Caenorhabditis elegans: one gene and its partner. The protein of the gene in region 2 interacts with the protein of the main gene of each other region in a pairwise test. Each region holds a gene or a part of one and is shown on either strand. Other genes may lie near its edges.

What was found.
Region 1: the proteins of gipc-1 (region 2) and F25D1.5 interact in a two-hybrid assay, tested with the Caenorhabditis elegans proteins (one large-scale study listed by BioGRID).

Annotation. Positions count from the first base shown.
Region 1 is NC_003283.11:10,545,027-10,548,793, forward strand, and holds F25D1.5 (DeHydrogenases, Short chain), read right to left. Parts: upstream 1,758-3,767; 5' UTR 1,727-1,757; coding exon 1,457-1,726; intron 1,414-1,456; coding exon 1,225-1,413; intron 1,178-1,224; coding exon 803-1,177; 3' UTR 717-802; downstream 1-716. Other genes in the region: degt-1 (Acid-sensing ion channel 1), read left to right, coding at 1-21, 223-314, 461-552, 595-716; srd-34 (Serpentine receptor class delta-34), read right to left, coding at 2,572-2,774, 2,824-2,981, 3,028-3,227, 3,280-3,426, 3,473-3,569, 3,617-3,654.
Region 2 is NC_003281.10:4,868,838-4,872,767, forward strand, and holds gipc-1 (PDZ domain-containing protein), read left to right. Parts: upstream 1-1,940; 5' UTR 1,941-2,002; coding exon 2,003-2,037; intron 2,038-2,091; coding exon 2,092-2,389; intron 2,390-2,436; coding exon 2,437-3,177; 3' UTR 3,178-3,424; downstream 3,425-3,930. Other genes in the region: C35D10.3 (uncharacterized protein), read left to right, coding at 93-130, 440-575, 769-1,061, 1,106-1,259; C35D10.12 (Methyltransferase type 11 domain-containing protein), read right to left, coding at 3,730-3,885.

The DNA of each region.
Region 1 (3,767 bases), on a different chromosome or scaffold from region 2:
GAAAAAGCGCCAAATTTAAAGGCAAGAATAATTACTGACTTTGAAATATTCAAAATACCTAAAAATTACATTTATTTGTTTGTTTGTTTATTCGAAATTTGATAAATAGTAACAAAATGTAATACATAGAAGATCAACGGGGAAAATCGAATAATACATAAAATAAGAAAATATTTCAAAGTTTAAAAATCAAGATCTGATTTTAATTTCTATATTTTAAAGAAAACTCGATTCATCCGTGGCGAATGGCTTTCAAGACTTCGAAACCAAGTTTTGATGGCCCAGTCATATTCTCCAACTCCTCAATATGATGTGTAAGTCTTTTAAGCGTAATCTGAGTTGTGAGTAGGGTGAGCTCAGTGATGGCAAACGACGCCGCCGTGACGTCTTGTTCTAATTGAGTGTATGCGTGCAAATAAACATTAAACTTGGTACTTTCAACGGAACAAACTTTTTTCAGAGTAAATCTTCTTCACATCAAGTTCTATTTTGCACACTTTAAACAAGAGACTATTCTTCAAGAAAGATCCTACAACTTATTTTTACTTCTTGGTGAGTTTTACTCGATGTGCTTGTAACTTTGAAAGTTTTCAGCCGAAATTGGAGGAACCATTGGATTATATGTTGGAGCAACACTTCTAACTGCAGCAGAAACTCTTGTTTTTCTTTGTGAACGAAAGAAAAGTAATATATTCCTAAAACCACAATTTATATAAAAGTATTCAATGTATTTTATTGTGTATTTTACGACTATTACATTAGATAACAATGGTTAACAAAATCTGAAAAAAAAAGTTATAGTTTACTGACTAAGAACGGACATAAGATCATGTGTTTGCATTCCCATAACAAGAGTTGATCCTCCATCAGCAACAATCGATTGTCCAATAATGTAAGATGAGAGGTTTCTATCAGCCAGGAATACAATGATATTGGCAATTTCTTCTGGCTTTCCACAATGCCCAACAGGAATGCATTCTTTCCGTGAGCCAATAAAACTGTAAAGCTTGTCAGATGCAGTTTCTGGTAAACCCATCGCTCCCATGAAACCAGTGGCAACTGCTCCAGGGCTGACAGAATTTACGCGGACACCATGTTGAATAAGATCGATTGCAGTGCATCTGGTGTATTGGTCAAGCGCAGCTTTTGCGCAAGCATAATATGGATATCCAGAGTGCTGAAAATTAAAACAAAAGTTCTGAAATCCTCTCTCCCGAAGCTTACTGCTTGTGGGCCAGCAACGATACTGGAAACATTTACAATCTCTCCTTTTGTCTTTATCAAATGTTCCTTTGTTTTCTGAGTCATTTCGATCACAGCTTGGAAGTTTAACTTGAATGTTTTCTGATACAACTCCACTGGTTGATCCGTATTAGCTGTTCCGTCAGCTAAATTGGCACCAGCATTATTAACCTAAAACAATTGAGTATATTTCATTTTCTATCTATGTACATACCAAGATATCAATTTTTCCGAATTTAGCAAGAGTCGTGTTGATGATATCATCTTGTCCTGATGCTTCGGTAACATCAGCAACCACGGCATTAATCTTCTCAGCTGGAACTCCTGCTTTCAATATTTGCTGTTTGGTTTCTTCTAGGCGATCTTCATTTCTTCCAGTAATTGTAACTTGAGCTCCTTCCTTTGCAAAAATCACAGCAGCCGATCTTCCGATTCCATTAGAAGAACCAGTTATAATGACAGACTTTCCAGAAAAGCGAGCCATTATTTTGAGATTACAAAAATAAAATGTCAATCAGATGAATGTGATGTTTAAATGCAGTTTAATGTTTTCTTTTTATACTCATTGCAGTTAAAATTATTTCATGGTTGAATGGAAGTTTGTAGTTTCCGTGACTAAAATATGAAATATCTGTTTACGTAGAGAGTATTTTCAAAGTTACTTCCCGAAGAGACCATAGACAGTGTAACAATTTTTGTGACTGTTAATTCCTCTGCGTCTCTTTGAATTGTGTCTATTTTTGTGCAAGCACAGTTGAGGGAAGATCAATTGATCAAGTTTTCAATATGAAAACACAACTATGATTTCAGGAATTTTAAAATTTTATTTGCTTAAAAAAAAAATAATTTCCGTGTCCAATAGTCTTGCACCCATCTCTCCATCTTTAGCTGCTTATTTTTCGGTTGTTTTTTTAATTTTGTCAGACATTCGCCAACTAGCAAAATATAAACAATAAGCTTTTTCTTAGGGCTTTAATAACACATTTCTAGTATCGTTAAAACGTAGTGCGACACTAGACGTCAAAATGAATTAATTTGGTGAGGAAATACGGTGAATAGTCTCTCTAGATCCAAAAACTTGTTTAACAATAATTGTTTGAGAGCTTTGGCACTTTATTTTAAAGTGTAATGTTGAACTGTAAATATTTTTTCATCGTTATTTTTATTTGCAGATCTTCGAACAATGTTTTTCATTTGTCGGTATTTTTTATTACTGTTATAAAAGTGCTTGTGTAATATCTTTGAACAATGTTATTTTATTCAATTGAGCAAAGTTCCGATTACTACTCCGATTAGTCCACCACTATCATTACCAATTATTCAAAATGCTCAAAAAATGGAAACAGCCGAAATATTGTTACGTCTAACAATTGCAGGTGAAACTTTTTTGCCACAAAACGTATCCTTGAAAAACGCAATAAAGGCTTTTTGGTACGGTGTGATGGTGACAATAACAATGAACGCATCAATAGCTGTTGGAAGAGAAAGCATCATATATAGAACTTTTTCAAAATTTGAGAGAAACGGCAAGTCTGAAAATTGTCACATATTATTTTACTGTAAAAACGGACAGGAGCCTACCATAATTCTCAAGTATTAAGTGAGCTATGTATATAGGAATCACACAAACTGCAGGGACAAGTGTCTGAATCGTCAAAGCAAGATCAAACTTCTTGGCTTGAGCAGCAGTTTTATCAGTAAATAAATGTTTTAAACTGTTGAGTTTAATTTGTATTAGTCTGGAAACACATTGGTAAGTATTTCTTCGAAACTCAAATTTATTACCTAATAAACACAATACTCATGATTGGTGGGACGAAAATGCTTATCATATTCAAATTTGTTGCTAACCAGCTCCAAAAATGTTTTTGATATCCAGTGATATCCGCATAGTACCGGAAATCATATTGTGTTGAATGAAACTTCCTGGTCTCTGAAGCAACCTCAAGAGATTCGTCTGGTTCGTACGTTATCACATAGATCACCTAGAAACATTCATATTTCCATTCTAGATCAATCACGAAAAGCAAAACTCACCCCCACAATTAAAGATAGAAGGTAAGAGCTTAAAAGAATCATTCTGATTTGATTTTTAGTTATGTTTTTCATATTAATATTTGTTACTTTTGTATATTTGTAAAACAATGTAGCAGGAATTGCAAAGGACGAGGCATCAAAGACTAACTGAATTTTGAATATTTGTAAAAAATAACAATTACAGGACACTTACCTGGAAAAAATCAAAACTGAAAAAGCAAGCATTTTTATGAGTGTGTCTACAAAACCCGCTAAAAAGATATGCTGACGATTCTGGATTGTTCACAGGTCTGAAGGAACAGTGTTAGCTAAAAATTAATATTATCGTACAACTAACCTGACTTGTGTGAAGACAACTATTATGCACATGAAAAACTGTAAAGTTGAAGAATTGACAAGAAAGACACGAAAATCTTTGAATACTACGGGCGTTTTAAAAACAACTAAAAGCACGACGGAAGTTTGACTGAACATGGTAAAACCAAAAT
Region 2 (3,930 bases):
TTTCGAGTTTAAACATTTTCGAAAATTTTGAAAAGGTTTTTTGGTGTTATGAATAAAATATAAAAAATTTATAGAAAAAATTCATTTCCACAATGACGTGTTCAGTTGGAATGATTGGTCAATTTTCAAGGTTTGGAATAGTTTGTGTTAATGGGCATTATGTTGGGGTATTTCAAGGCTTAACATTTAGATAGCCAGCGTATGTCATGATGTATTGTGTAGGCATAAAATGCCTGCTTGATTTCCTACAAGAAAACCTAGATCTATTGTGTACCAACCCGCAAAAGCTCTCTTTTGTAGTAGGCGAAAGGTAGGCATGTGTGCCTTGAGACAAAGCTGTTGCTTTCTTCTCAGGATTTGTTCCATATTCTTAAGAATTAGAAGCTTTTGTGAGAAAATTTAAAGAGTGTAAACTTCTATCAAACTTCTCTTTTTTCAGTTACGCAATATGCAGCCCAAACTTATGGATGATTGTTGCTTGTACATGCATGACACTCCTTACAATGCTTATGACGTTATATATGAATTGCGGGTTTCGAAGGAATGTACGATGGCTGAAGTTCACTGAGTGGAAGGTTTGTGTTCATTAGATCAGATTGTTAGTGCAGGTTCAACGTATCTTCCTTTTCGGGCCCTGCCTAAATATTTCATCCGACCGAGGCGTAATGATCATTGATGATCACGTAATCGCCATCCTCTTGCAATAGGCGCCTTCCGGTCGAGAGGGGTGAGCGTGAATTGTGAAGCTCACTTCTATTCATATTTCAGCTCCAGCAACTCGCCGAACGTCTCCGCATTCAAGAGCCAAATGTAGGTCTTCTTATGCAAGTAACCAGAAAAGTGAATGATAAGAAGAACAGTGATAAGAAAGAATTCGACTTTTTCAACAATCGAGATCAAAATAACAATATCGCAGGAGCATTGAATGAAGTGGCAAGTAAGACAAGTAATGGCTCAATGGGATCAACGGATGTAGTTGCTGCTCAAATCAGAAAGGCGAGAGATGAAGACGTAGAGAAAGTGTTGCGGGAGAGTAATATGGATATTCTTACTCCTGATGTGTATGTTTTAAGTTTGAATTTTCTGAAAATGATTATATTTTCAGCCAACCCACTCAACCAAGCACTGGAGGATCTCAGAAAATTCTGAAAAAGTGGACAGGAGCAACAATAGATCTCTTCTCGAAAGATGAGGATGAGAATGAAGGGAAAGGAAAAAAGGAAAGAAAAAATAAAATTGATCGAACTCAAGAGGATTGATTTTTAATAAAGATTTTTCATTAAAAAATTCCCATTGGGTTTCAATATAAGAATTTCCTGCACCATAGTTATGGCCCAGGAGCCAGCCAGAAGTATAGTCACAAAGCGTATTATCAGGTCTATCAGTATTCATAGAGAGTATTCATACTTCTGGTTTTTTTTGTCGCTACTTGGGCTGATATTTCAGTTTCACAAGATACATTCCCAACCATCACTATTCAAAAGTCGACGGGGCTCCTGCTCGGAAAAGTTTGACAAAAGAAACCCAGGATAAAAAGAACTGCTTCAAATAAATGATTTCAAATAGTTAAAATCACAAAAAACTAGATATCAATTTTAAATCGCTCGGCTCCTCCGATGAGCACATAATCCTTTTTGAGCTCATGAAGAGTCCGCAGCCAATATTTTTAGGGCAAGTCTTACGGGTACGGTAGTTGAACAATTAACTCGTGTTAAGATCTGGAAATTGCCTCGATATTGAGCAAAAATCGAGAGAATTGTTTGCGATTTACTTTAGTTATACGTGTTACAGTTTTAAAACAAAATGAAGAAAAACACGAAAATTAATAAAATTCGAAAGTTATATTTTTAATGAACTTCCTCAGCGTGGCACTCTAATTTGGTTGGCATCTAAGCTCCGCCCACATCAATGCCTATAAAAGATCAGTTTCTTGATAAAATGATTCATTCATCGATTTAACACCAACTCACTTCAACTAGTACAACTACTAACATTCTCCACAATGCAAGGACAAGGATCACCATTCTGCCGTTCTAGGTATGTATTACATGAGCCCGAGTCTTATGTCTCAAGTTACCATGAATATTTTAGAACCCGCTCGAGATCTCGTGGAGCTTTCAATCGTAGCTCCAACCACGGTTCAGTGCTTCCAATTCAGCCTGCCGTATTGGATTCAATTGCCGAGGAATCATCGTCTACTATCATGACAGTAGTCAATCCTTTGATGGTGGCAGCAAGACAGCTCAAATTTGCTTGCCAGATGGCTCATGGAAGTCCAGTTGGAATCATCGACAAATGGAACAATATGGAGGAATTGTATCAATCAATTGCCGATTGCTTTACAATTTCAAAAGATGATATCATTTTCCTGACAGTCAATGATTTTAAGGTTAGTTTTGACATAAATAAGTCAAATTCTTATTCTAAATATTTCAGCCAGACATGAAGAACATGTTCACTGGAACACTGAACTTCAAGGATATGCTCTTCGCCCACATTCGCGGACAAGCAACCGAGCTCCGAGTCGTCAAAGATGCTAAAAACTTTGGAGTGACAATCACGGACAACGGACTCGGGAATGCATTTATCAAGGTCATAAGCCCAGATTCGGTGTTTGATCGTATGCGTCCAGCCACTCAAGTTGGTCAACTCATTGAGGCGGTCAATGGAGAATGTGTGCTCGGGAAAAGGCATTACCAAGTTGCCCGAATTTTGAAAAATGTTCGTCGCGGCGAGGAATGCGTGGTTCGATTGATTGCTCCAAAGACTGCTGATCCAGGAACCATGAAGACGACTGGAAAAACTGGCGGAGGTCTGGCAAAAGGAACCATTCGTTTCAAATCGGAAGGCGGATTTGCTGTTGAGGATGTTCAAGATCAGATGATCCAAGCTGAGATGTGCGGAAAGCTCAATGAGATATTCGACCAATACTTGGGAGTTCAAGATGATCAGCTGGCCATGAGAATCTGGGAAACTGCTTCAAACTGCGAGACGCTTTTGCAACTCAGTGAAGCCATCAAAGAGTCGGAGCTCTCAATGTTCGATTTCCCGGATGGAATGGTTTTCGATATGTGGGGAATCATCGGTGATTTGAAGCGGGAGCAACGTGAGAAGAAGCCATCCCCAGTCATGAAGAATGCGATTTCAAGACCATCGGCTATGAAACTCTTTGAGTAACTTTTACTGTGGAATAAATTATTTTAATCTCCGAACTGTCTTAAATTGGTTTAAAGTATATCCCACTAACTTTTCAAATTTATTCGATTCACAAGACTTGAAAAACACTCTTTCCGCTGCTTAGTTCGATTGTTTCATTCAGCACATCTTATTCTCCAACAGGCATCCGCATTTCATAAGCCTCTAGAAAATCATAGCATTCATCGATTCCCAGTTTAAATGCTGTTTAAATGAAGCTTCAAATTTATTTTATTTTTCTTTTGTCAAAATGTTTATTTTAAAACAGCGTTTTGTCAAAAGTATGTATTCAATTTTATGCTTTCCCATTGGTTTCTCATTGGAGCTCTCGAGCTCCAAATGTCCGTTACACCATGTCCACCTGCAACCTAGTTAGAAGCGAAAGATAAAATCTGCATAAACTTCAAACGTTTTGTATTAATTTGTAAGATTTTAACGCTTATTTACATAAATACAGTTTATTTTTTTCGAGATCATAAGATTTAGTTCTCAAACGAACTTTGGATATGTGCAATACGAGATGATTCCTAATGTTCATGGTCGAATGACATTTGCCGCCACTTTTTCAGCAATTACACACCAATTGCCATGTTCAAAAGTTGCTGAGACGACTTTTAGACTCTCCACGGAATCTACTAAATCGGCAAGTTCACCGTCTTTGAAAACATGATAGAAGCGGTAGAATGTGACCTGAAAATGGAAAATTATTAGCTGAAAATCTCTTAATTTAATTGT